7 linked regions of the Cricetulus griseus genome follow. The protein of the gene in region 5 binds, or shares a complex with, the protein of the main gene of each other region. Links are inferred from orthologs where the notes say so. Each region holds a gene or a part of one and is shown on either strand. Other genes may lie near its edges.

Region 1 (4,004 bases), on a different chromosome or scaffold from region 5:
TTACTATGTAGTCCACGAGGGCCTTCTTCTGCCTCAGCTTCTCACCTGCTGGGATTACAGGCGAGCACCGCTGCTCATTGCTGGAATATGTTACTCTATTTAATATTCTCTGCCTTGGGGTAGACTTCCGGTGCTAAAAGCAAGGACGAGTACATTGTTTATTTCGGTATCAGAACTGCCTAAACTCTTTTTTATTGGGGGGGGGGGTTTCAAGACAGTGTTTCTCTGTGGATCGAACTCACAGAGATCAGCCTGCCTCTGCCTCCCGAGTGCTGGGACTAAATGTGTGTGCCACCACCGCCCGGCTTAGAACTGCCTGAACTCTTAACACAGTTCAAAGCATTGCACAGGAAACACAGTCATACTTCACAAGCCCAGAGAATAAATACTGGAACTTGGTGTGAGTGATTACTTCCTGTTGGAACTCTGAGGTAGGTTCCAGAAGGTACGCGTTGAAGTGAAGGACCACGCGGGAAGGAAAAACTGCCTCCTCTTTGTAATTCCAAACCCGTATCCGGATGGACTGAGCTAGTCCGGCCCATGCCACCACTCCAGCCCGTGTCACTCACCCAGCCGCGTGGCGCGTTCCCGTGGCTTTGCAGGCTGGTCTGCAGTCCCGTGTTCAGTCTCGAGCTCCTCCTGCTGTTGCCTGGCTTGCTGCAAAATGCGTCTGCTCAGCCGGGGTCCAACATACTCTTCCTCCTCTTCAACCCCGCGTCCCCGCCGCTTGTCTCGGGTCCCCGCGCGCACTGCATTCCCAGCCAGAATCTGCTCGGCCAGAGGTGCATGCTTCTCCTGATTCCGGGCCCCGCGGGCCACCTTCAATTTGGGCATTTTTCTCGAAAAACTTGCCGATGCTACTCACACGTGGGAAGCCGGTTTAAAACTAGGACTGTGTCTGCGCCCTGTGTTCCGGTGCTCGGGAGGTCACCGAGAGTTCACAGCGCCCCCCAGCGTTCGGAGGCCGGAAGTGCCTCATATACCGCCATCTCTCCAGGAGCTCCGGGGCGGGAGCTGGACTCCCCAGATTCTCAGGTAATCTCATTGTACGGAAGTGGGTGGATGTCCCAAGTCACCTTTTCCAGACAGAATTCATGAATGTAGCCTGAGAGGTCCTGTCAAAGCAAAGCGCGCCCTGGGGGCGGAGCCGGGCTGATGACGGAATTCGTTCATCGCTGGAGCGCCCGGGCACGCCTCCCTTCTGTGGGTGTACCGCTCTGGCGCTCAGATTTTGCGTATTTCCGGAGCCTGCATCCTGCTTTAGGCGGCTCTACCTCCAGGGGCCTCTGGATCCCTTGACTTCGAGTGTTTGGCAGTGCCACCCCTTTGACCCTGCGCCATGGGAGTGACTTGGTAGGACTGCAGGGGCTCTTGTGGGACGGAGCTTGGGGTCGTGAAGGCCCCAGGAGGGGGATCGGGACGGAAGCTCTCGGTTCCTCGCGGGCTGACAAAGATGTCCTCGGGTCGTGTTGCAGCAAGGGACGCCGTGTGGTGCTTCTTCCTTCCCAGGCGCATCCTTTTGGCAAAGCCAACTCTTCATTCCAGGAACCTGTCAGGAGTCGTACCTTCTTTTTCTTGGTACTTCTTCATGTCCGTCAGGCCATAGTATTGTCGCCAATAGGACCTAAAAGTTGGGAATAGGCTTTCGCACTAAGAATTATTTGCAGGCAGCGATAAAAAAGAGGGGGGCGCTCTAGGAGAAAGTGACTTTTACATTTTGCTTGCAGTAATAATAGCCTGGCTTTAATTTGGTCTAATGTCAGAGGGAGAGGAAAAGGAGCTGTTGGAGGTTTGGAGGTCGGGGTTCCAGGCACATTAACTATCCAAGAATCACTTCCTACATGTTTGAGTCAGGTTTGGGTTTTTTTTTGTTTTTTATCTGAAACGTGTTTTAAATCTCACTTGGAAAAAGAGAGGTGATTGGTAATGTCTGGACACCGTGCTTTTCTTCAGGGCATTAATTCCAAAGTACTAGGCTTCAGCACGTTAAAAAAAATCTTGGTAGTGGTGTGTGTCTTCCCAGCTGTTCTGTATAATGTGTGTGTGGGATGTTCTTCAGGAAACCCAGGCTCTTGCAGGGTTTTTAGTGACTACTATACGTGCAAATTAGTTGACACCAGGAGCCTTATCTCAACCTCATCACACCGTAAAAAGTACCTGTCAGCAGTGAAAATAGAAATCACAGCAGAGTCACTGGGCCCTATAAAACATTTCTGTATATGTTTTTATGGGCTGTCGATCACCTGCCTCTGACTCCTGCATCCTGGGATCACAGGAGTGCTCCACCAATGCCTGCCTGCCTAGGGTTCATTATACAGAGAAAAGGTTTCCCTTCCTACTAGTATCGGTTCAACTCTCTCAAAATCACAGAGTTTCTGTCACAGTGTCAGTTTAGTGACTCTTCTGTTTTATGTATTGCTCACTGGTCCTTGAAACGACTATTGTCTCTTTTTCTAGGCGTATACACTCGAGGGATGCGTTCTCTTTGTTCTTAGTGCCTTTAAATGGAACTCTGTGATAGTGGGAAAGTTCTGTCCACAATGTCCAGAATATTATCCACCAGCCTCCTGGGGCTCTATACCTGACAAAAGCAGCTTATGATAGGGTTTATTTTGGCTCACTAGTTGAGTTTAAATAGAATGAGGTGGCTGGTCACATTATGTCCATAGTCAAGAGGTAGGTAGGGGTGTGTGGGGGTGTGTGTGTTTGGGTGTGTGTGCGCGTGCGCGAGAGCACGTGTGGTGTCCTACTCAGCTGATTTATCCACACCTTAGTTAAATAAGAATCTCACAGACAGGGTCAGGAGTTTGTTTAAGAAATAGGTCTCAGCCAAGTATACCCCTATAATTCCAGCACCTGGGAGGCCGAGACAGAAGGATTGCTAAAAGAGTGAGATCAGCTCAGGCTAATTCAGTGAACTCCAGATCATCTTCGGCGGCATTGTAAGACCCTATCTCCAAGCTTCTAGGTCCTGTCATGTTGGCACGTAAACCATCAATCACATCCACTGTACAACTCAGTGACACTGAATGTGTGCAGTGTGTGCTACCTAGAATCAACACTTAATGTTGGTATTTGTACCTTACTTGGGAATGCTGATGTGGTAGAAAGTTCCATGTCCCTGTGTGAGACACTTGAGACCTGTGTTCTGCCTGTTAAAGGAACTCTTGGACTGTGGGCCTCTTCCTTTCTCAGTTTAAGGGGCAGGATCAGAGTTAGTGTTATCTAAAGTAACTCCTAGTCCTGTTGATCTGGTAACTATTTGGGAATGAGTGGCTCAGCCAGAGCATGTTTGTCTCTGGACACTGCTGACTGTTCTGTTTCTCAGTGTGTCCCAGATGCCTGTGGCTGAGGGCAAGAGTGTCCAGCAGACGGTGGAGCTCCTCACCAGGAAATTGGAGATGCTTGGGGCAGAGAAACAAGGAACATTTTGTGTGGACTGTGAGACTTACCACACAGCTGCCTCCACCCTGGGCAGCCAAGGTCAGTAGATGACTGCGAGCAGATGTTTGGACCCGGCTTGGAGTCCTACAATTATTCATAGTCATTGGCATCTATTTGTGGTGGTCAGATTGCAGTTTGAGCTACTTGTTTAATTAAAATTTTTTAATTGTGTGTGTGTGTGTGTGTGTGTGTGTGTGTGTGTGTGTGTGTGTGTGTGGATATGCGCACTAGTGCTCCTGTGTGTGGATATGTGCACCTGAGTTCAGGTGCCTTTAGAGGCCCGTGGTGTCAGATCCCCTGGAGTTAGCCTTACAGGTGGGTATGGGTACTGGGAACTGAACTTGGGTTCAAGGCCAGCCTGGGCTAGAGAGTGAGAACCTTTCTTGGGAAACAAAAATTGTCTAGCACAACCAGAAGTGCTTTCTTTATTAAAGAATAGTGTTGGGGCTGAGGTGATAGCTCATCAGTTGAGAGCACTGACTGTTCTTCTAGAGGACCAGGTTTGATTCTCAGTACCTACATGGCAGCTCACAACCTTTTAAACTCCAGTCTTAGGGGAA
Region 2 (2,702 bases), on a different chromosome or scaffold from region 5:
CTATTTTCTCAACTCAGGTGCTATCTCCTCAGAAGAAATCATTAAATATGCACATAGGATTAGTGCAAGCAATGCTGTGTGTGCACCACTGACTTGGGTTCCAGGTAACATTGCTTCTTATGTCAGATTAAAACTATTTAAATGTAGAATGTACTTCTCTAAAACAACATCTCTAGGCATTTTTTTTCAGTGTCCTAGTAATGCCCTCTGTGGCATCTCTCAAGAGGATGTATCATTGTTGATGTTTCTTACTAGGAAATAGAATTAAGTTGGAAGAATTGAGATTGCTATAATTCGCCTACCTCTGCCTCCTGAGAGCTGGGATTAATGGACCATGCCCAGCTTGAGAATTTTCAATGCAGCCAGGCTAGGTGTGGTACTGTAAAGGCAACACCTGGAGAGGCCGAGGCTGGATTGCAAGTTTGAGGCCAGCATAGGCTACATAGTGAAAACCCTGTCTCACAAAGAGCTTGAGGCTTTCAGTGTGCACCAAGGAAAGTTAATACTTCAAAGAACTTATCTTTTGTTTTTTTAAACTTGAGTTAAAAAGCTGCCTTCATTGTTGTTTTAGGAGACCCTCGGAGGCCGTACCCAACTGATTTAGAGATGAGAAGTGGATTGCTGGGTCAGATGAACAACCCTTCCACGAGTGGTGTGAATGGCCATCTCCCAGGGGATGCCCTTGCAGCAGGTAGACTGCCAGGTAATGCTGACAGGAAGGGTGTTTTCAAGCAGACCAAGGGTTTTCAGAGGTGCCAGCGAGGCGTTGTCTAACATCGAACTCTTGAGATCCCAGGCCCAGCCTTATTCATCTACTTGTTTGTCCAGGGTCCCTGCCAGTTTGTTATTCTGTGCTTGCTTTAGCCAAAGACCCTGCAGTGGCATTGCATGACATGAGCCTAAGCTGTCCCCATGTGCATCTCCTGCCACCCTCCCCCCAGCACAGGAGCTTTCCTTGATGACAACGAAGAACATTTTCCATCATGAGGCGTGCTCCCCAGATAGACTAAGCATTTTTGTAGGTGCCATGTTGTAATGTAAAAGGATCTTTCTAAAGAGAAAGGACATGAGTGGGGGCTATGCTTTCTGAAGCCCATTTTTAGCTTTAGCTATCTCTTCTGTACTAAAGTGTGGATTTGGGAACTCTGTGCTTATTAATTCCCAGACATTCCTTGTCTTTCTCATTGCAGTTATACTACACTGTTGGTTATAATCCTTTTAAGACAAACAACACCAGTAATTTGAGTAGGAAAGTTGAAAGGATTAATTAGTAACAGATATGGATGAATAGCTATTATGTATAGGACCATGGCACAGGACCCATGGCTGGGGTATAATGGACATAATTTGTTGTTTGTGTGTGTTTAGCATGGATGGGCCCCTATCTTGTTAGACCTCTGGTACTACAAGGTAGGCGGGTAGATAGAATTAAGTTACTTGCATAAAGGGAGGGTGATTGACAAGTAGATGGATTACAAGTAAACTGATCCCCATGCTTCTTTCCTCCAGATGTCCTTGCTCCACAGTACCCATGGCAGTCAAATGACATGTCTGTGAACATGCTACCACCAAATCACAGCAGTGACTTTCTGTTGGAGCCTCCTGGGCACAACAAGGAAAATGAAGATGATGTGGAGGTTATGTCAACAGACTCTTCAAGCAGCAGCAGCGACTCTGACTGAAGAAGGCGTGAGAGCACGCACAGACTAGTGCTGCAGAGCCCTGACAAGAGGGACATGTAAACCCCAGACCTCTAAGGAGCAGCCCACTGAAAACCATTTGGGGTTCTTTTCAATGCCCCCCCCCCCCATTTTGTCTCATCTGCTAGGCAAACGTGTGAGGATTAGTCAGCATTACTACTTTGGTTTGCACATAGCAGCTCTGGAAGTGAGGCTGCAGGAGAATGACACAACTCTCGGGAATGACTTGAAAGGGCACCAAGCCAGGCGTGGCGGCTCATACCTATAATCCCAGCACCAGGGAGACAGGGATTGCTGTGAGACCTTCATAGTAAGTTCTGAGCCATCAGGGCTACAGAGCAGTCCGGGCCAGCACAAAGGCAGCGGGGCTCTGAGTGTGGTATTTCAAAGTGAAAGTGCTCACCTGAGAGTCGGCTGCTGTTGCAGCGACAGAACTATCACTATTTATATGTGGTAAATACTGTAATTTGTATAAATAAACTTGCTTTTGTTTATTTTTTAATTTTCCTGTTGTCTGATTTATGTATGTATGTATGTATGTATGTATGTATTTTGGTACCCCTTCAGTATAAGAAGGAAATTTACTTAAATCCAGTTGCATCTAAGCTGGGCAGTGGTAGCACATGCTTTTAACTCTAACACTCAGGCAAAGGCAGGCAGATGTGAGTTGGAGGCCAGCCTGATCTACAAAGCCAGTTCCAGGACAGCCAAGGCTACACAGAGAAACCAGTCTTGAAAAACAAAAAAATTCAGTTGCATTTTATAATATTCAAGTAAGATTCTGTTATATATCAGAAAATACAAGATAAAATGACTATATCTTAACTAGTAATCACAATTAGGTTTCTGAGAACATTAATAATTGAAAACATTTATTACAATCCCATACCACACAGACACACAATTTCATGGAAGGTTTTAAAATAGAAGGGTTGGGGGAGAGCAACCAACCAACCTTTGGCCTTGTTGTCCTGCAAAGTTCTTGAGGACTCCAGAAGACCC
Region 3 (4,015 bases), on a different chromosome or scaffold from region 5:
TTTATTTTATATTGGTGTTTTTGCCATGAATGTCAGGTTCCCTGGAATGGAGTTACAGACAGTTGTGAGCTGCCATGTGGTTGTTGGGAATTGAACCCCGGTCCTCTGGAAGAGCAGTCAGTGCTCTTAACCACTGAGCTATCTCTCCAGCCCCAAATTAGTTCTTATAATTTAAATGGACCTGCCCTCCCCCCAGGGTTTCTCTGTGTAACTTTGGAAGCTGTCCCGGAACTCGCTCTGTAGACCAGGAGGGCCTGGAACTCAGAGATCTCCTGCCTCTCCCTCCTGAGTGCTGAGATTAAAGGTGTGTGCCACCATGCAGGGCAACCCATGTTTTTTAATTTGCTTGCTTTTATGTAACTTGTTACCTTTACTTATCTTTACTTAGTTTTTTATTACACCAATCACAGCCATACATCTTCCCAGTGCGCATCACACAGTATCACTCTTCGCATGTAAAACTATCAAAGATCTCAATTCTAAATCTAAATTCTGAACCTGCCTAACTTGCTTATTTTCCTGGAACCTCTCTTCTGGCCCCAGGGCCCTTCCCTTTCCTCTGAAGCCTTCTCTTCCTCACAGCTACAGAGGACTGTGTAGTTAACTGTGCTGACTACACACCTCTTATCTCCAAATGCCCATCTCCAAATGCCTTTCACCTCCAAAGGTGAAAACCTTTGCCTGTCATTCCTCACCACGGCACAGTTTAACGCTTAGTTTCCCACGCTTCCCATTTCTGCTGTGTCAGTTTCCCCACTCAAGAATTAAAGCACGAATCTAGCCTACAGTTGGGCAAGCACCTCTTGGCCCAATCCAACAAGACACCTAACTAACTCTTGATTTCCTGGCGAATGATAATCTGCTGGGTTTAACCATTTGTGAAGGGTTCGCCGTGTGGTCCACCTGGAAAGCACAAGTGAAGGAAAACAAGTGTTCCAGATGACGCCCAAAACAGAACCCCGGAGCCACACGCAAGCAAAACACACCGCGGGCCCGCCAGGACCGCCTCAAACACGGCTACAGCCAGGACGGCAGGCGGCGACCGTCCCTGGAGCATCTCGGCGCCGCGGGCCTGGCTCCACCCCCGGCTCCGCCCTCCAGACCCGCCTCCCAGACCCGCCTCCCCGGATCCGCCCGCTCCGCCCGCCTCCCCGGCCCCGGTGAGCCGCGGGATAGCCCCGCCCTCCGCCGCAGCGTGCGTCCTTGGCCACGCCCCCTGGAAGGGAGCCCTGTGATTGGCCCAGAGCCGCCATAAATTACCCAATCGCCGCTGAGCGGGGAGCTTCGGCGTCGCTGCGTACGCGGGAACATGGCGGATCGCCTCACGCAGCTGCAGGACGCGGTGAACTCGGTGAGGCTCCCGCCTTAGTCGGCCTGTCCTTCCCGTTCTTCCCGTTCTTCCCGTCCTTCCCCTCCTTCCCGTCCTTCCCGGGGAGGAGAGGAGAGGAGAGGAGAGGAGGGCCGGGGAGAGGAGGGCAGGAGGGCCGGGGAGAGGAGGGCAGGAGGGCAGGAGGGCCGCGTCGAGCGGATGTTCACAAGGGCGATTTTTGTTTTGTGTTGAGAGAGTCTCCCGCGTACCCCCCTGGCTGACCTGGAAATCACTGTGGAGACCAGGTTGTCAGTTAAAACTAACAAAAAACAACTGGGGAGTCATAAAATCTAAACAACAGAAGCTCCTGAAAACTGCTGCCTTCCATAACCTTGTCCCTTCTGGCTGTTACTCTTTTTGGTTTTTGTTTGTTTGTTTTTTTGGGACAGGGTTTCTCTGTGTAGCTTTGGAGGTTGTCCTGGTACTCGCTCTGGAGACCAGGCTGGCCTCGAACTCACAGAGATCCTCCTGCCTCTGCCTCCGGTGTATTGGGATTAAAGGCGTGCCCCACTAACGCCCTGCCTCTGAGCCACATTTTTAATCCCATTAATCCCAGCCCTCTGGAGGCAGAAGCAGGCAAATCTGAGTTTGAGGCCAGCCCCAAAGTTAGTTCCAGGACAGCCAGAGCAGTGTAGAGAGAGACCCTGACTCCAAAAAATAAAATAAAAAATGTTTCTGCTTATTACCATTAAGAGCACAACACTTTTCCACTGGTAGTTAAAAATGTCCGTGTCATCCTGGTTGTAGTTTGTTCTAGGTAAAGTGCCTGTAGAGTGTCTGCCTACTGGAAAAAAACAAAACCCAGTCCCTGGCCTGTGTTTTTCTTACAGAAAGGTCATAACTTGGCTTCTTGGTAATACATCACTTTTAGAGATTGTGAATCTACTTGTGGGAAAACTGCCTACTCTGTAAATAAAGTAGTTTTTAAATTGAGGGGCTATCCCTAAATGTTGGTGAACTCACCAAGCTAAAATGTAAAGATTTCCCTGGGCTGCCAGCCATTCTCTCCCAAGAAAGTACTCCTTTGAGGTTTTAAAAATCTCTTAATGCAGTGTAGGAGCTTATCTCAGAATTTCGTCTTCGTGTAGGTCCTGTAGCTAGGGTGGTAAGGATGCTATATGGTCTTGACTCATGTTAGGAATACTGTTAATTTAGCTAACTTGGATGCCTACTGTGTCAATAGGCAATGTGTTTACAAAGAGCTACCCCTGGGGGAGCTTAGAAAGATGCCATGAACTCAAGAGACTTTCAGATGTGAAACCCCGTTCATGGCTAGGGAGTTAGAGTAAACTGCTTTCAGTTCTTCAGTGCTAAAGTAGATTGGAACATAGAGCAGTGTTAACATTTGTTCTACCATCTGGAAACATGTTCATCTCTATAATATTTATATATAGTACTTGCCATGGGGTTCATTTTTCAATAAATATGTTTTTGAACAGATGAACAATGGGTCTTGAAAGCATTTGCAGGACAGAATACATAACTACTGTTCTGAATAAGTTTCATTTGGGTTTTTCTTTGTCTTAAGACAGTGTTGCAAAATGGAATGCTGCAACTTAAAATAAAGTCACCCAGGTTAGCTTTTAATGACAGCTCAGATTTTTGTCATTGAAATAATGACAGCAAAATAATAGAAACAATAGAAATGCTGTTTCCTGATTGGAAGATTGGAAATAATAGTTGAGGTTCCAGGGATTAGTGAGAAGTTGGGTGATGGGTTATACATGTGTTTAGTTTGCAGATGGTGTGAACTTGTGTTTTCAAATTACTTGACTACATTGGTTTTTTTTTTAGTTCTGCCTTTTTTGAGAGAGTCTCTTATGTAACTATGGCTGGCCTCTGCCTCCCAAGTGCTAGGATGGAAGTTGTGCACTGCCGTGCCCCAACAACAAATACATTCTGAGCAGTAAGATTACAATTGGAGTCTTGTAGAATTACAGTTCTGATAACTTACAGTAAGAAATTTCTTCATGTAGTACAGACTGGCCTGGAACTTCCTGTGTAGTTGAGGGTGACCTTGAACTTGGGTTCTTGCCTCCTGATTACCAGAATTACATGTTTGCGATGTTACTCCTAGGTTTCTGTTTCAGTGCTGAGGGTCCACTTCGAGGCTTCACCATGCTAGGCTAGCAGTCTCCCAGCTGAGCTTATCCCCAATACGCCCACTATTTGTTTATATTTGGTAGCTGCTCTGCACAGACAAGAGATCATGTGCTTTGTACACCCCAATTTTGAACCTCAGGAAAGAACAGACAATCATTCTTGCAATTAGAATAGAATGTGTTATCTACCAGTTCGACTACTTTGGTATCTTAGGATTTGTTTATAGAGTTATGATTTGAAAGAGTCTTTTTTTTTTTTTTTTTTTTTTTTTTTTTTTTTTTATTTTAAGTATTCCTGTGTACCTCATGGGCGCCTGGGACCCATGGAGACCAGAAGAGGCTATCAAATCCCTTGGGATTAGAGTTACAGTTGTGAGCTGTGGATTCAAATCCCTTGGGATTAGAGTTATAGTTGGGAGCTGTGGATTCTGGGAGTTGAACCCAGATTCTCTGCAAAAGCAGCCAGTACTCTTAAGCATGACTCTTTCTGTATTGCAATTTCTGCATCTGCTAGGATGGATACCCATAAACATTCGAAGAGAGG
Region 4 (4,276 bases), on a different chromosome or scaffold from region 5:
TTCAGCTCTGATGGAGGTGTCTGGTCCTCTCTAGGACTCAGCTGATCTCCCCAGGGCACTTTGTCTTGTGTGTGTGTGTGTGTGTGTGTGTGTGTGTGTGTGTGTACATGCCATGGGCCTGGTGAACCTGGACAAGCTTCATCTCAAGGGCTGATTTTATGCTTTTTTGTGATGTGTGTTTCGTGTCCCCGACTCCCTGGGCTCTGCCTGCCCTTCAGATCCTCCTCCTGTTAACACTTATACCTGGGTCCAGGACTTCCAGCCAGAAGCCTCTGACCTTGTGTGTTGTCCTCCTCCCTGTCCCCTCTGCCACCCAGCATAGCTGTGGTCACTGCAGAGGCTCCATGGGCCCGCCTCCTCCCCTTTTGTGTGGTTCTTTGTGCTTGGGGGAAAGGGACACTTTTAATAAAGCCTTGGTGCTCAGGCCTTGACTGTTTGTGTCTTGGGGTTTGGTGGGGAAGTAACAGGTCACCGAGGGCTGGGGGCCGGAAATCTGGACACACAGGGCAAAGTGCAGTCTTGATTCTTTAGTTCATTTTAAAATGTGTAAAATACTTAAAGGTGGGATGCCAGGCTGTGGCTCAGTGGGTAGAGTGACTGATTTCGTAGCATGCTCAATTCCATTCCCAGCACCATATACCCTGAGTTTGAGTCTAACTTGGGCTACATGTCTTTTGGGACAGGGTTTCTCTGTGTAGCTCTGGCAGTTCTGGAACCTTCTCTATAGACCAGGCTGGCCTCAAACTCAAGAGATCTGCCTGCTTCACCCTCCCGAGTGCTGGCACTAAAGGTCCAACAACAGACCTCTGCGTCTCATGTAGCCCAGGCTAGCCTCAAACTCACAGTGTCAGATCCTGTCACACAAAAGTAAAAACAAAAATCCCAAATTTAAATAACAATAAATAACAGCTGAACTCATGACTTGATGGTGCACAGCTGTTCTGGAGGCTGAAAGAAGAATCTTAACCTCAACAGTGTGAGGCCAACCTGAACTACATAGCCCGTGTCTCAAAAAGCAAAGGGGAAAATTTAGTTAAGTCACTTACGTGGGGACTAATTTCGCCATCAGTGAATATGCGGAAGATAAGCTATACATAAACTAATTTCAGAAGAGAGATGTAGGAGTATGCTTTGGTGTTTCTGAGGGTGGGCAAAATATGGAACGCTTCACGAATTTGCGTGTCATCCTTGCGCAGGGGCCATGCTAATCTTCTCTGTATCGTTCCAATTTTAGTATATGTGCTGCCGAAGCGAGCACAAACAGCTGCTTTGTCCAGGCAGTATTTATAGGCTCTAAATTCAAGCCCTTTATCGTTAGGGTGAGTACAGTTTCCTTACGAAAGTTTTAGTACTTCTCTCCTGTCTTTTACAGAAGACCAAACCTATAATGTAAGATATAGCTAGTGATCAGAAATGACAGATTACTTGTCTTTTTTCGTACATACAGCTGCAATGGTTACTAGGAATTATTGTATGCAAATTAGCCGAGTAGAGGGTGGAGCCTGGGTTCTCCCAGAAGTCTGTGCGAGGGGCCGGCACGAGCGGAGAGATGGCGGCCCCGGATCCCGGGCGTTGGGGCGAATGTGGATCGCGGCAGCCCGGCCGACTGGGCGCTCGGAGCGGACAGGTCAGTGCCAGGATGCGGAACGCGTGACCGGCACAATCCGGGCGAGGACCACGAGCGGAAGGCCGAGGGGCGGAACTTGCGGGGTCAGAGGGCGGGCCGGGGAGCAAAGCTTCCTGGGTAGCGGACTGGGTGGAAGGGGCGTGGTCAGGACCGGTGCTTGAGGAGAAGCCTGAGGCGACTAGGCCGGGGAGGGGGCGTGGCCTGAGGATGGGACTGTCTGAGGGGGCGTGGCCTGAGGCAAAAGTTGAGCTGAGAGGCGGAGCCTGAGGAAATGAAGCTGCTAGAGAGGGGCGTGGCCTAGGGAGCAGAGTCTGAAAGAGTGGGGCGTGGCCTGAGGATCTGGGACTGATGGAGAAGGGGTCCTTGGCCTGATAACCCGTAAGAAGAGGGGCCTGAAGCTGGTAGTTGGCTTGGGGGCGGAGCCTAGGGCCTTAGAAGGTGTGTGTGGAGCTTAAAGCCCGTGGTGGGGCCTGGTTGAGGCACATGGGTATGTGTGTTAAGTCTCAGGATTTAGGTCTTGGGCGAAGCTTTGGGGGCGGGGCGTGGGACTGAACTTGGAGTGGGTGCGGCCTGTTTGTGGAGGGTGCTTAGTGCTTGGAGGCTGAGCTTAGGCTGAGGTCTGGGTGGGTGATTAGGTGGTATGGAGGGTGCTTTAGGCTCCAAGGGCTGGAGAACTCTCTAGAGCCACTTTAGCCAGGACCTCGCTGTTCCGCAGGAGCCAGGGACTGTGCTGGGTGCTGTGGGCATAATGGAACTGGTCTACGTGTGCGAGTGGGAGAACTGGGCCAAGAACACGTACTGCCCGTCGCTGCCCCTGGCCTGCGCCTGGTCCTGCAGGAACCTCATCGCCTTCACCACGGACCTCCGAAATGATGACCAGGGTGAGTGTCGGTCCATAGAGGTGGACTGTGCCGGGTTTGGATCCACCCTACCTCAGATTTCCAGACACAGTGTGTCCCGGTTTGAAAGGCTCATGGTGGCAGAGCCAGGCTCCCTGTTGCCAGGGAAAGCAGTCATATACCAGTCACTGTCCTCCGACTCTAATGTTGGTTATGGCTGCACTGGATAACCCTCCCCGGGGGATAAGTGGCATGGAGGGGCACTCAGGGAGAGGGGAAATGGGCGTGGGAATCCTGGGACACTGTGAGCCACACCGACCTCACCTGTTCTCCTTCCATCGCAGACCTGACACATATGATCCATATCCTAGACACCGAACATCCCTGGGAAGTGCACTCTGTCAACTCTGGCCACAGCGAGGCCATCACCTGCCTGGAATGGGACCAGTCAGGTGATGCCACGAAGTTCACTCTCATTCCAGAGCCCTGAGCAGCATGGGCTGCCTTCTTCAGTTCTCAGTCCTAAATCCAGAGTCACTGGGAGTCCAGAGTGTGGGGGCAGGGGGTGGCAGTCAACCTGCCCCTCAGGAGGGTTCCTGATGGCACTCTGTCACCACAGGCTCACGGCTCCTGTCAGCCGATGCTGACGGGCATATCAAATGTTGGAGCATGGCTGACCACTTGGCCAACAGCTGGGAGAGCTCAGTGGGAAGCCAGGTGGAGGGGGACTCCATCGTGGCGCTGTCCTGGCTGCACAACGGCGTGAAACTGGCCCTGCACGTGGAGAAGGTGAGGGGACTTACGTGTGGCGGAGTTGTGAGTGACCAACCTGTCTCTCCCTTGCCGCTGCCAGAATTCTCTGTCATGTGCCAGGCCTGTTTGCGTGGGATACCTGTCAGTAACTGCCATCCGTGAGCTCCTGTCCCCAAGAACATGCTTAACTACAGCTATTGTCCCCCTGAGCCTCCCCTTTCAGTGATGGGATGATGGTCCCTATAGAGTGACCCTGTTCCACAGGCAGCTGCATCCAATGGTGTCCTGTTTTACAGATGACTGCTATGTGGTCTTCAGACCCCACTCTACTGTGATTTAATGACGACCACAATTCCCCTATCCATGTGTATTCTGGAGTTCAACCAGTGAGGAGTGAGCACCAACAGACATCTGAGATGTCTGTTTCCTCGGAGGTAGATGCCTTTGAGGAAGGGGGCATGGCCAGGTCCTTGGGGACCAGCAGCTTCCACACACCTGCTGAGACCACGCCTACATGTGGCCACTCACCAGCTCCCACATCATGACATGGAGACCAATTAGTTATGAATGCTCTGCCTTAGCTTAGGCTTGTCCCACTAGCTTTTTTTGTTTGTTTGTTTTCTGGACAGGGTTTCTCTGTGGCTTTGGAGCCTATCCTGGAACTCGCTCTGTAGACCAGGCTGGTCTCCAACTCACAGAGATCTGCCTGCCTCTGCACCACACCACCACCACCATCTGGCTCCCACTAGCTTTTTTTTTTTTTTTAAGATTTTTATTTATTTATTATGCATACAACATTCTGCTTTCATGTATATCTGCACACCGGAAGAGGGCACCAGATCTCATAAGGGATGGTTGTGAGCCACCATGTGGTTGCTGGGAATTGAACTCAGGACCTCTGGAAGAGTAGTTGGTGCTCTTAACCTCTGAGCCATCTCTCCAGCCCTCCCACTAGCTCTTATAACTTATTTTAACCTGTTTCTCTTCATCTGTGTTTTGCCTCAGGGCTTTTTACATTTCTTTCATTCTGTATGTCCTACTTTTCTTGCTTCTCCTG
Region 5 (4,164 bases):
CAACATCAACTTCAATGTTCAGAAGTACACTGTGAATTCAGACCATATTATCTTTAAGCTTCCTGCTGGTAAGTATGCCTTGAAAATTGAGAACTTGTTGGCCAGTCAAGACACAAGGTGTGCTAATTTCACCCTAAAGGAACAGGTGACCCTGGCAAAGGAAAAGAAAAATAAAGCAAAGCTATGGCTTCGTGCAATGAAGATAACTGTGATGAGAGCCATGAAACAATCTCTAGCATCTAAATATACACCCAAGTCGAGGTATGCAGACTCTATGAAGGAAATTCTGAGAACATGAAGCAGTGTCACTTGGAAATCTTACAATTATTTGAATCCCTTAAAGTCCCTGTCACCTGCTAAAGGACACTTTTGTCTGCCAGACTTCATGTGACTATGAAGTAAGGACACCTGTTCTGCTTGGTGAGGAAAGAGGGACGCTAGGGTTAAGGACTCATGTGTTCTATGTAAGCTGACAAATGGAAGCATAGGAAGTGGGAAGCAGCCAGTCAAGTCCACTAAAGGTTTGGCAGATAACTTTACTTACTGTTCTTTTTAAACATTTTTTTTTGTTGTTATTTTGAAAAAGGACCTCAACTGTCATAGATGTGGTGGTTCACACTATAGAAGCCAAGACAGCTATGAGTTCAAGGCCAGTTTGGGCTACACATTGATTTTTGAGTCAGCCTGTGCTAAAAATACCTTTAAAAACTATTTTTAAAGTATATGAAGTTGGGAGTGAGATATGGTGATGGTCTGCATGGTATTAGAGGGGAAGGAGAGGGCATGATCAAAACACATTGTGTATAAAATTCTCAAAGAACAAAATACATATTCTAAAAACTAAGAGAAAAGGGTCCATGTCTGGGATGATTTTGTATGGCACATGATATATTATTTGTCATGTCTGATTTTTGTTTTTGTTTTTTTGTTTTTTGGGTTTTTTTTGGGGGGGTGGATAGGCCTATGTTGGAACCCACACTGGAAAAAAGAACACTTATACACACAAATATCACGTGCCTTTTTACTACTCTTTCCCACAGTGAAACTACCTATGGTGTTTATCAATCTCATATCACAATCACTTTTGCTTTCTATTATGTACTGGTTTCCAAAACCAAACACTTAAAGACTCTAAACATTTTGACAAAAACAACAAAAAAAGCATTGTTAAATTTCAAACTTCTATTATTATCCAGGCTTTGTGAAGGAAGCCCCATCTTGAGAGGGCCGGGCGTTGGTGGCAGACGCCTTTAATCCCAGCACTCGGGAGGCAAAGGCAGGCGGATCTCTGTGAGTTCAAGGCCAGCCTGGTCTCCAGAGCGAGTGCCAGGATAGGCTCCAAAGCTACACAGAGAAACCCTGTCCCGAAAAACCAAAGAGTACGGTCTTATTAACACATTAGCATTTTATATATTTCCAAATAATAAAAAAAACTGCAACACACATGGTCAAAATAACCTCTCCTATTCCAATTTGAATTATATAGTGTATTATCCATTGATAAGTGTACATCCAGTGAGGAGACTCCTGAGTGCTTTTTCACACTTGATCTGAGTTTCAAGACGCACCATCCATCTACCAACATCAACTGGGGCAAGTAACATACCGGTTCAGTACCAGTTCCTTGGAATATGTTAAATCTGAGGGCAGCCACTTCAAAGTCTTCAGCTTTCCAACTGTTTGGGCACCTCACCCACCCACCCACCCACCCTGACACCTTTTCCCCTAAGTACTTCAGTATATACCTAAAACACGAATGTTCTCCTGCAACCACAGCCTAATTTCACCCACTGAGGGCTTTTGAAATTGAGGTTCTGTGCTTCCCTTCCCCACGCCCACACTAAACCCGCAGTTTCCCAAAGGCTTCCAGTAAGTGACTGGCACCGGCTATTTACACCGTCATTTCTTCTTCACAACGACACAACTATTCCCAATTCGATTTTAGAAACAAGAAGCCAATTCCCAACGTGGAGCATTAGATCAAAAGACTGGCAAACGGTACAACGGGACTTCTCACTCTGGGTTTTTTGTTTGTTTCCGCTCCCAAGTACAAATCCCCGAACTCCACTAAGTAGCGAGGCTTCCCGCGGAACAGCCTGCCCCAGGACAGGATCCGCCCATCACCGGTTTAAACAGAACTTTTCAAAGCCGCTGGAGGTCGTAATTTTGTAACACTAGCAAAACTCACACTTAGTAGTGTTTGCTTTTGCAGGGAAAGCGTCGCAAGCTCAGAGACCTGCTTCACTTTGTGCCCTGTAAACTGGGACCCCTTGAAAGTCTGGTAAATGGGGAATCCAGATCCGCTCGTGGGCCCCCGCCCCAGCCCCAGCGCTCCCAGGTGGCTCTTCTCATTTTACCAATGGCGACGGGGGACAGTCTTGGCTAAGGCCACGATAGTTTAAAAGTCGTCGAAGTGGGGACAAGAACTCGGGCCTCCCAACCTCCAGTCCGGCTCGTCTCGCACGTGGGAAGCCCGGAGAGGGAGCACTCGGCTCACCTTCGGCCTCCGGCAAGCTCCGCTGAGCGACGTGGGGGGAAAGGCGAGCCCGGGCTTCCCAGGATGCCCCGCGCCGGCCCGGCGGCGCTCCACGCCCGGAGAGAAGCAGCCACGGGGGCGGAGAAAGAGGATCAGGCTGCGGTTGCCAACCGCAGCCGCGGACTCACCTCAGCGCTTGCTTTTCCGGTAGCGACTTTTCCTCAGCGCAGCAGAAGCACAAGTTCCGGTTGCCTTCTCAGGAAGAAGCCTCTGACGCTGGTCTTTAATTGGCTACCAAGGCTGTCCTAGAACAGGTTTTACTCCCGCCCTGAAGGTATTGCGCGTGCGCACTTCTGCATCTCCCGCTTCTCCTGGGGTTGTCTCAGGCATCTCCTCCTTCCCCTCCCCCCTCCCGCCGCGCCCCTGAGTAACCTAGGTCGAGTCTGGAGAGTACCTCTTCTTCGTTCATTTTGTCAGTAAAAGAAAATACTATCTAATAATTCTATTCCTCGCCACCTCCACTTTTAAATGAGACTCTTGGAATTAAAAACGAATCCACTTGCCTTATTTAAAAATCAGAAAATACGGATAAGCAATATATTAAAATATTCTATCAATGTTAACCTCACCATCAAAAATGTTTTTAATATAAGATTATACTCCGTGATATACATAAGTGTATATAAATATTTGCAAATATATGGTATACTTCTGAACATGATTAAGAATAAAATCCTAAACATCCAGTTTCCCCCTCCACTTTTATTTTCATTTAGGAATTCAAAGACGTCTATTACAATTCTTACACAAATTGACAAGTGAAAAAAATTAGTTTGGTGTAATTTTTTTTTTTAACGGAGGGAGGGAGCAATTTCACTGTGTAGCCCAGCCCTCAGGAGAGTTCAGAAATTCGCTATCAGTCCCAGCAAGAAAACTTTCGGTTTAAGGTTTTGTTTTCAGTATTTGTTTTTTTCCACAAGAATTGTTAACAAATGTCCAAGTTCTTGGGAGTCTTAAGGGTGCACACTGCAATCTAAAAGATAAGAATGTTCTGGTAAAACAGCTCTGCTTCACAAACAAGATCCTCCCAGTTTCTTTCTTTAAATATGTGGGGAATTGCAGGCATAAAAGTGAAGTGCAGTCTACTCACCGCCAACTTCAACAGTTACATGCTCAGCATCATTTCATCTTTAGTCCTGTATGCAGCGCTAAAAGGTAAGGGCTCTTTATTTCTTCATATACCCATAGAATTATAATCTCACTGAAAGTATATTGGGGTCATTAAAGGAACAAAACTGATAGAATGAATATGTATGCATGTATGGTTTACTAGAGTGTCTCCAAGGATCCAGTCCAAATATCCCAACACTGGCTGTCTCATGCATGGAAGGCTGAGAACCCTGTAGTTGCTCAGTACAAGAGGCTGGACATCTCAGAAGCTCTCATCTGGCACTGGAGGCCTGGAGGATTTCTGGAAAGCTGCTGGTCTTCAATCTATGTAAGAATCCCAAAGAAATTCAGTTCCAGTACTGGCAAAGGAATGAGGGAACAAGAAAATGAATGAAGTTGCCGGTGAGAGTGAGGGCAAGCAACAAAATCACAGTTTGCTGTTTTCTTGTCCTTTGTCCTTCTTACCTGGGCAGCTACAAGAACATGCCACCAGTCTTCCTGCTTCTAAAAATCTGATT
Region 6 (4,042 bases), on a different chromosome or scaffold from region 5:
AGAAAGGACAGTGCTTGCTGCTCAGAAGCTAGAACACACAGCAGAGCTGGCCTTCCTCTAGAGACCTCCTTGGTCAAGGAGCTGCTCCCAATTTCAGAGACTGTGGACAGTAGGTCAGCTGCCTGGCACTGACTTTCCAAGCAACAGCTAAATTTGTTAGCTATGATTGCACTCATAAAGGTAAGCATTACATGACACCAATCTCTGTCACTTTCTCTCAAGAGGGTTAATTTTAGTGTAAGCTCTTCAACTGTGTCCCCATTTTGTATTTTTTTCCATGAACATCTTAAATATGTGTCAATTACCAAGTGGTAGAGCTCATAACTGGGCAGAGCAGAGCCCTGTGCCAGCACACAGCTCTTACTTGGGCCCTGAACAATCCAGAAAAAGTACCCTTCAATGCCTCTGGAAGAAATCAAGGACAGTCCTCCAGGCTGAGTTCTACAAAGAGGTCCTGCAAAGCCAGCACATGACAGTGTTCATGAATAGTTACTGATACACTGCATTTAGAGAAAAACTTCCCTCCTCATTAAGAGACAAGTTCTCAACTCTAGCCATCACAATGAGGTCACTTATCCCTATAGCCCTTTGAGATACACACTCCACTCCAAGTAACTTACCCACAGGTGAAGGAGTATATTAACACTTAGGCCCAAGGTAAGATTCAAAAAGCAAAGGTTTGGGGACCAGGCACTGTGGCCCACGCCTTTAATCCCAATACTCGGAAGGCAAAGGACATAGTATGTTCCAGAGGCTCTGTCTTAATACACACACACACACACACACACACACACACACACACACACACACACTCACACACTAAAATTTGAGTCCTCTATCTTCCTTCTTTTACCCCCAAAAGAATCCTTTAGTCAGAGCCTTACCCGCAAGGCTGCCCCACCTGAAGCGAAGCATCATTACTGCCTATCAAAGCACTAGCTGATCCCAGCACTCTCACAGGCAGCAGTCAGGATCCCTGGTGATTTCTCACGAGTCAACATACAGGACTTAAGAATTACACTGTGGATGCTGGCAGTGGTGTCGCACAACTTTAATCCCAGCACTTGGGAGGCAGAGGCAGGTGGATCTCTGTGAGTTTGAGGCCAGCCTGGTCTACAGGTAGAGAAACCGTGTCTCAAAAAAAAAAAAAAAAAAAAAAAAAAAAAAAAAAATCCACTGTGTACATTGTAGCTTCAGAAAACATGCAAAAGCCACTGAGGTTACATTTTTCACATCACTTGTTTGTATCTTTTAATATCTCAATCATGTAATTGCAGTAATATCAGTCACTGTTTTAAAAAACATTTAAAAAAAAAAGACTTTTTAGAAGATTTTATCTAGCCTGTCCTTACTCCACCCACCAAAAATGTCTAAAATATTGGCTAAATCAGTATCAAGGTGATCTTAATAGGGCCTCAAGATCAGGAAGAAGAGATTTACTTTGAATCTGGCAAGCAGATTCTTCCAGAGATCAGGAAACCTCCATTTCTACCAAGACTGCACAACTAATGTGAATTTCTTGGAACACACCAGAATATGGCACATTACTAAGAGTAACAAGCCAAGCACAAGTAAGGGAACCAAAAGAGCTCCCTGCTCAAACCTCAGTTACCTGGCCAAGCCCAAGATGATTTTTCTTTCCATCCTGAGCATATTAAAAAGTGATCTCAAAGGCCACTTCCTGGTCTCCCAGCAAACACTTCATACCTGGATGCTTGTGCATCTTCTCATGGCCCTGCTGCTTCCAGGAACAAAGACCCTCACCCCCTCCCTACACTGCCAACAAACCTTTGGAAAAAACACAACAGGTGAGATTAGCCTATGCTCACACAGGAAGAAAGGGTGTCCCTCTGCTCATAGGACGCTTAGCAGAGGGAAATGTGACATAAAGTGACCCCATACAGTTAACTCTTGACAGCCTAGAGACCAAACACCAGGCCGAGTCCCTCAGGTGGGGCAAGAGAGATGGAAAGAAGACCAGAATAGGGGCGAGAGAACAATCGACTGTGATGAGCAGGAATTCAGTACCAAAACCCCAGGCTTGTCAGACACACAATGGGACATTTAGGCCAAGAAAGGTGACAGGAAGGATCCCACCTTCTGCAGGGTCGTCTTTCCTAGGTAGCGACCCTTGGAGGGATTAAACTGGGGTCTGTCCAGTATCAGAAAAGAAGGGAAACTCTCCAGGGATCCCAAGCAGCAAGACTAGGGACAAGGAGGGCCTAGGGTTCTCTCCGAGCCCAAGAAGACGATTTCAGCCAGAAGACCGAAGGGAGACGCGGGCTACCAGAGTCATCGGGGGACACTAGTTGCTTCCCACCTTGACCCCCGTAGGGAGACCCTTCCGGGGGGTCTCAAGTCCCGGGGTCGAAGAGAGACAGGGAGGCAAGGTGGAAAGCACCAAGGACAATCTGGCCGAGGCAACCGAGGAGAACCAGGTCTGATTTCGGCTCCGAGCGATCCCTCAGTCCAGGCCGCGTGAAGCCTCGGCCTCAGGTACCCTGAGTCGCCGGGCTGCCCGCCTTGCCCGCGGCCCCTGGACCCGGGAGAACGAGAGGCCGAGATGGCAACGGCTGTGGCGGGCAGGGCGCCGCCGGGAGAGGCCCCCAGGCCGGGGGCGCGTCGGAGGGGGAGGGTCCCGGCACATGCGGCCTCGGTCCCCGTTCTCCAAGCAGTCACTTACGTTACTCTGGGAGTCGATGGCCTGCAGCAGCCGGTCCCTCATCTGCTGCGGAGACGCCGGAGCCGCTGTCATTGCCTGGGCGAAGCGGGGGGGAGCGGCCGGGCCGGCGGGCGGGCGGGCTGGGGCGGGGGGACGCGGGTCAGTCGCTCGCCAGCCTCCGGGAACGGAGCCGCATGTTCCCCGCGGCGCCGGAGGAGGTCGGGGCGCTCGGGGAGATGGCGGAAGACGGAGGGAAGCGGAGGGGACCGGAGCTCGGGCCCCGGGCCGCCGCCGCTGCTGCGAGCAGGGGGGGAGGAGGAGCCGACGGAGAAGCCGCCGCCGCCGCCGTCGCCGCCGCCGCCTCGAGAACCAAACTCCAGTGAGCTGCCCCCGCGCTGAGCACTCTGGGTAACCCGCGCCGCACGCAGCGTCGGCGCCACGCTGAGGAGGTTGGGAGATGGGGGCGGGCGGAGACTCTGGCTCTGGGAGGGGCCGGCTCGTGAGCCGCTTCTGTTGCCTCTGCGCATGCGCGCGCACGCGCGTTTATCAGGTCGCGTCGCCACGCCCCATGGCCCGTTCCAGAGAGCCGTTGGGAGGCAGTTGGGCGGGGCAACGGACGCTGTCTAAAGGCCACGCCCACTCCGAAAAACCGGTGGGCGGAGCTTCCTAACGGAAGCGCACCCGCTGGGTCTTGGAGCTTGGACTCTTCCTCCGGGCTGCCTCGGGGGTGCGGAGAAGGAGGACCCTCCCCTCGGATGAAGGGCCGCAGCCGGGGGCTGGGACCCGGCTCAGGAGCGACGCCAAGGAGACCCGCGCCGCGAGGACCTCGGGAGAGTTCTGCGCAGCCGCCGCCGCGGTGGAAACCGGAGGCGCGGGTCTGCGGGGCAGTGCGTGTCCCCGTATGACCCGCGCAGAGGGGACCTAAGGGCACCGCCGCCTCCGACAGGGCCTGCGCGACCCGCTCAGGAGGAAGCGCCGCTCGCGTCGCCGGCCGGAGGGACCGCCGTGCCCGAGGTGGCGGGGCTGCAGCCCGGCATCCGCCCCTTCCTGTTGGCTTTGCATCTCAGGTGCTGGAAAACAGGAACGCCCCACCGAGCAGGAAAGCAAGCGTCAGAACCACCTGGAGTTTTAGGCCACACCAAGAGAAGCGAGATGTTAAGTGTCGGGCTCCCGACCCCCCGTCTTTGGGTGACCCGGAGCTCCGCTGCAGATGACGGGAGGAGGGCGGGCGGGCGGGCGGCGGGCTCCGAGGTTACCTTAAAGATCCAGACTGGAAACGGAAGGGAAACAGGTAATGGGAACCACATGTGCTCCTGAGAGCTGGGCGACCCCTGTTAATTTTGAATTTGTTATACTTCTGAGGGTTAGCCGGGATCGGGG
Region 7 (3,500 bases), on a different chromosome or scaffold from region 5:
ATGTGCCCTCAGCACCGGCCCCTGGTTTTTGGCCTCAGCTGTATCCTTCAGGTAGGTACTAGAGGGCCCAAGAAAGTGTAAAGAACTGACTGCTCATCCTGGAGAATGGGGTGAGTCCAACTCAGAGGTGGGAGCAGGCACTGAGCAACCCATTTAAGAATTGTGTTTCTCTGTAATAGGATGCTCCCATTCAGAAGTTTCGGACATCCTCTCCCAAGACTTAAGTATTAGGCCCAAAGCTTCTTAGGAAAGTGCCTGAGAATCTGGGTATGGTAGTGTATGCGTGTAGTCCTAGAACTTGGAAAGAAGATGCAGGAGGACTGTGAGTTCAAAGTCAGCTTAAGCTATATAGCCAGATGAAACCTTGTCTGAAAATACTATAAAAATGATAATAAAAGAAGGTGAGGTAGAGGCGGATCAAGAATGATACTTGCCCCAAGGACTCAGTCATAGTAAACCTAAATCAGATGCAAAACCTAAAGGAGGTGGGCCTTAAGTGGGGGATTCTAGAAAGGTAGCCATGATAATTGGGTTTGATTCATCTATTTGTCTGGCAGACTATCCTCCTGTGTTGTCCTAGTGCCCTAGTTTGGCACTACTCATTGACTGATAGCCGAATTAAAACTGGTTCACCACTTGACCACCTGCCCATTGCTCCTTCCAATTTGCCCATGCCAGAGGGTAACAGTGCCTTCACTCAGCAGGTAAGCTTAAATACTACCCTGGTACTTTGAAGTTGAGATGTAATGCTAGATTCTTTTTCTAGAAATAGTGACTTGGAGTCTGCTACTGTTTTCTGCTTTTGTTTGTTTTTTGAGACAGAATCTTGCTAAGTAGCCTTCACTGACCCGAAAGTTGCTGTGTAGACCAGGCAGGTCTCAAACTTAATAGTGATCCTTCTGCCTCTGCCTCCCAACTGCTAGATTACAGGCAGGCATATACTACCACGCCCAGCTTTCGGCTACTCTTCTTTTAGCTTTTCATTTATTTGGGTGTTTCCTTAAAGCTTTTTAAAAAATATTGCAGGTCCGAGCAAAATTGCGAGAGATTGAACAGCAGATCAAGGAGCGAGGACAAGCAGTTGAGGTTCGCTGGTCTTTTGATAAGTGCCAGGAAGCTACTGCGGGTAGGTGTCAGAGGGAGGGAACTAAGAAAGGATGGGTGATGGATTCATAGATATCTGAGAATCTGAATGCATTGACTCTCTAGTTAATTCTAGTTAATACTGTTTGTCCTCAGGTTTCACCATTGGACGGGTGCTCCATACTTTAGAAGTGCTGGACAGCCATAGTTTTGAGCGCTCTGACTTTAGTAATTCCCTTGACTCCCTTTGTAATCGAATCTTTGGATTGGGGCCTAGTAAGGATGGTCATGAGGTGAGTAAGAAGAAAAACAGAAAGAGCAAAAACATTACAGGAGAAGCGGTCTGTATAAGGGTAAGGTTAGTAACTCATTGAAAGCAGCAGATTCCTGAAGTGATGATTTTCCTGGTTCCTGGGGCTATGATATTTTTAGGTGGGGCCTATACTTGAAAAAGGAACTCGTTTCTTTTGTTCCTAGCCTTCCCTTACTTATCCTTGTCAAATCCTTTGGTTACAGATTTCCTCAGATGATGATGCTGTGGTATCATTATTATGTGAATGGGCTGTTAGCTGCAAGCGTTCTGGTCGGCATCGTGCTATGGTAGTAGCCAAGCTTCTGGAGAAGAGACAAGCCGAGATTGAGGCTGAGGTTAGAGGCTAAGAAAAGGGAGTGAGTTGCCCAATGGAAAGACTCTAACTGGGTTTGGACATATTGAGGTAGTAGTGGGAATGGGACTGGACCCGAGGGATTGGAAAGAAACCATAGAGAGCTCTTGTCTTGGCACATACCTGAAATTCCAGCACTTGAAAGGCATATACAGGAAGATCATGGTTACAAAGCAACCAGGACTAGCTAGAGAGACTGTCTCAAAAGTTAAAAAAAAAAAAGCCAAGCGTGGTAGTATATACCTTTAATCCCAGTACCTCAGATCTCTGAGTGCAAGGCCAGCCTGGTCTACCTTTCGCATTCTAGAACAGCTAGGGCCACATAGAAAGATTCTGTCTCAAAAAAAAAGTTTTACAAAAATGCTGGGCATTGTGGTGCATGACTTTAATCCAAGCACTCACTTAGGAGGCAAAGGCAGGCTGATCTCTATGAGTTTGAGACTAACCTGGTCTACATAGTGACTTCCAGACCAGCCAGAGCTGCCTAGGGAGACCTTGCCTCACAAAATCAAATAAACAAAATATACAAAACCAAACAAAGAAAGAAAAGAAAAGTGGTAGAGAACTTATAGGGATTGTTAAGGACATAGGCACAAATGGAAAAGAGCTGATGGATTAATTGGCTAGAGAAGAGACCAAGGCTGTAGTTGAGAAGTGGCAAAGGAAATGAAAAGTGTGGGATGGAAGACAGGTGACACTTCGAAGGTTACATATTGAAGAGTGAAGAAACAGGGAGAAGTCACCGCTCAGTTTGTTCTCTCGTCTTGCAGCGTTGTGGAGAATCCGAAGCAGCTGATGAGAAGGGCTCAGTCGCCTCTGGTTCGCTTTCTGCTCCTAGTGCACCCATTTTCCAGGATGTCCTCCTGCAGTTTCTGGATACACAGGCTCCCATGCTGAGTATGGACACCTATAATCTTCCAGTTCCTTTGCCTACATTCAATTATAAATCATGTCATCAGAAAACATAAAGAAGGACCTTCTGGCCTCTGGGTGGTGGTGACACCACCTTGAATCTCAGAAGAGGCAGAGGCAGGTGGATTTCTGAGTTCAAGGCCAGCCTGATCTACAGAGCAAGTTTCAGGACAGTCAGGGCTACACAGAGAAAACCTGTCTGAAAAATAGACCAAAACAAAAGCTGGACAGTGGTGCACACCTTCAACCCCTCAGGTGACACAGGCAAGCGGATCTTGAGTTTGAGGCCAGCCTTCTGTACAGAACTAGTTCCAGAACAGCCAAGGCTACACAAAGAAACCTTGTCTCAAAAAAAAAAAATCAGGAAGAAAAAAAAGAAAAGAAAGAAAGAGCTGAAAGAGGAGGGGAAAGAAAGAAAAAGAACGAGGGAAAGAAAGAAGAAAGTGAGAAAGAGAAAGAAAGAAAGAAAAAAAAAGAAAGGAAAGAAGGCCCTTCTGGTCTACATTTCTGTCTTGGGTTCTGTGCAGAATTACTTTTAGGCGTAGTTCTTGATGGTCTCACAATTTTAATAGAATAGAGAAAAGCAAAGAATAAACACAAGAACATTTGAGCAAAGCATTTCCAGTATATACACAGGAGCAAAGATACTTTGTTCATTCCACGGTGGTGGTGGACAGCATTAAGCGGTGCAGCCAACCATCCTTTTTAAAATATTTGTGTATGTGAATTTTTCCTACATTTATGTTTGTGCCCCATGTGCATGTCTGGTACTTGCAGAGGCTGGTGGAGGGCTTCGGATGCCCTGGAACTGGAGTTTATAGACAATTGTGAGCTGCCATG

The links.
Region 1: Med7 (region 5) and mediator of RNA polymerase II transcription subunit 20 share a complex: the UniProt entries of both Homo sapiens proteins name them as parts of the mediator complex. The link is inferred for Cricetulus griseus from reciprocal best matches to the Homo sapiens genes MED7 and MED20.
Region 2: Med7 (region 5) and Med4 share a complex: the UniProt entries of both Homo sapiens proteins name them as parts of the mediator complex. The link is inferred for Cricetulus griseus from reciprocal best matches to the Homo sapiens genes MED7 and MED4.
Region 3: the proteins of Med7 (region 5) and Med21 are in contact, whole or in part, in a cryo-EM structure (PDB 7EMF), measured with the Homo sapiens proteins. The link is inferred for Cricetulus griseus from reciprocal best matches to the Homo sapiens genes MED7 and MED21. Residues at the interface, in NP_001094286.1 of Homo sapiens: Phe72, Asp73, His74, Lys75, Leu78, Arg79, Asn82, Ile85, Leu86, Phe89, Leu92, Leu93, Leu96, Phe116, Val119, His120, Ile123, Asn124, Tyr126, Arg127, His129, Gln130, Arg132, Glu133, Leu135, Arg136, Met139, Glu140, Gln142, Lys143; in NP_004255.2 of Homo sapiens: Asp3, Leu5, Thr6, Leu8, Gln9, Val12, Asn13, Leu15, Ala16, Phe19, Ile23, Ile62, Ala66, Ile69, Asp70, Ile73, Asp74, Leu76, Pro77, Ser78, Glu79, Ser81, Ala83, Gln86, Ser89, Leu90, Leu93, Glu96, Asn97, His98.
Region 4: Med7 (region 5) and Med16 share a complex: the UniProt entries of both Homo sapiens proteins name them as parts of the mediator complex. The link is inferred for Cricetulus griseus from reciprocal best matches to the Homo sapiens genes MED7 and MED16.
Region 6: Med7 (region 5) and Med26 share a complex: the UniProt entries of both Homo sapiens proteins name them as parts of the mediator complex. The link is inferred for Cricetulus griseus from reciprocal best matches to the Homo sapiens genes MED7 and MED26.
Region 7: Med7 (region 5) and Med12 share a complex: the UniProt entries of both Homo sapiens proteins name them as parts of the mediator complex. The link is inferred for Cricetulus griseus from reciprocal best matches to the Homo sapiens genes MED7 and MED12.

Annotation. Positions count from the first base shown.
Region 1 is NW_023276806.1:255,578,091-255,582,094, reverse strand, and holds the start of mediator of RNA polymerase II transcription subunit 20, read left to right. Parts: upstream 1-1,204; 5' UTR 1,205-1,339; coding exon 1,340-1,353; intron 1,354-3,328; coding exon 3,329-3,483; intron 3,484-4,004. Other genes in the region: bystin, read right to left, coding at 570-834. UniProt on the Homo sapiens protein: Component of the Mediator complex, a coactivator involved in the regulated transcription of nearly all RNA polymerase II-dependent genes.
Region 2 is NW_023276807.1:228,022,090-228,024,791, forward strand, and holds the end of Med4 (mediator of RNA polymerase II transcription subunit 4), read left to right. Parts: intron 1-17; coding exon 18-104; intron 105-571; coding exon 572-703; intron 704-1,509; coding exon 1,510-1,682; 3' UTR 1,683-2,202; downstream 2,203-2,702. UniProt on the Homo sapiens protein: Component of the Mediator complex, a coactivator involved in the regulated transcription of nearly all RNA polymerase II-dependent genes.
Region 3 is NC_048601.1:3,057,122-3,061,136, reverse strand, and holds the start of Med21 (mediator of RNA polymerase II transcription subunit 21), read left to right. Parts: upstream 1-1,215; 5' UTR 1,216-1,309; coding exon 1,310-1,351; intron 1,352-4,015. UniProt on the Homo sapiens protein: Component of the Mediator complex, a coactivator involved in the regulated transcription of nearly all RNA polymerase II-dependent genes.
Region 4 is NC_048598.1:100,704,718-100,708,993, reverse strand, and holds the start of Med16 (mediator of RNA polymerase II transcription subunit 16), read left to right. Parts: upstream 1-1,476; 5' UTR 1,477-1,549; coding exon 1,550-1,627; intron 1,628-1,859; exon of another isoform or gene 1,860-2,005; intron 2,006-2,342; coding exon 2,343-2,508; intron 2,509-2,810; coding exon 2,811-2,918; intron 2,919-3,085; coding exon 3,086-3,255; intron 3,256-4,276. UniProt on the Homo sapiens protein: Component of the Mediator complex, a coactivator involved in the regulated transcription of nearly all RNA polymerase II-dependent genes.
Region 5 is NC_048600.1:60,988,498-60,992,661, reverse strand, and holds the start of Med7 (mediator of RNA polymerase II transcription subunit 7), read right to left. Parts: upstream 2,801-4,164; 5' UTR 2,665-2,800; intron 2,635-2,664; exon of another isoform or gene 2,358-2,634; intron 152-2,357; exon of another isoform or gene 1-151. UniProt on the Homo sapiens protein: Component of the Mediator complex, a coactivator involved in the regulated transcription of nearly all RNA polymerase II-dependent genes.
Region 6 is NW_023276806.1:247,288,613-247,292,654, forward strand, and holds the start of Med26 (mediator of RNA polymerase II transcription subunit 26), read right to left. Parts: upstream 2,801-4,042; 5' UTR 2,756-2,800; coding exon 2,684-2,755; intron 1-2,683. UniProt on the Homo sapiens protein: Component of the Mediator complex, a coactivator involved in the regulated transcription of nearly all RNA polymerase II-dependent genes.
Region 7 is NC_048604.1:68,973,016-68,976,515, reverse strand, and holds part of Med12 (mediator of RNA polymerase II transcription subunit 12), read left to right. Parts: coding exon 1-51; intron 52-557; coding exon 558-704; intron 705-1,026; coding exon 1,027-1,126; intron 1,127-1,239; coding exon 1,240-1,376; intron 1,377-1,599; coding exon 1,600-1,731; intron 1,732-2,518; coding exon 2,519-2,645; intron 2,646-3,500. UniProt on the Homo sapiens protein: Component of the Mediator complex, a coactivator involved in the regulated transcription of nearly all RNA polymerase II-dependent genes.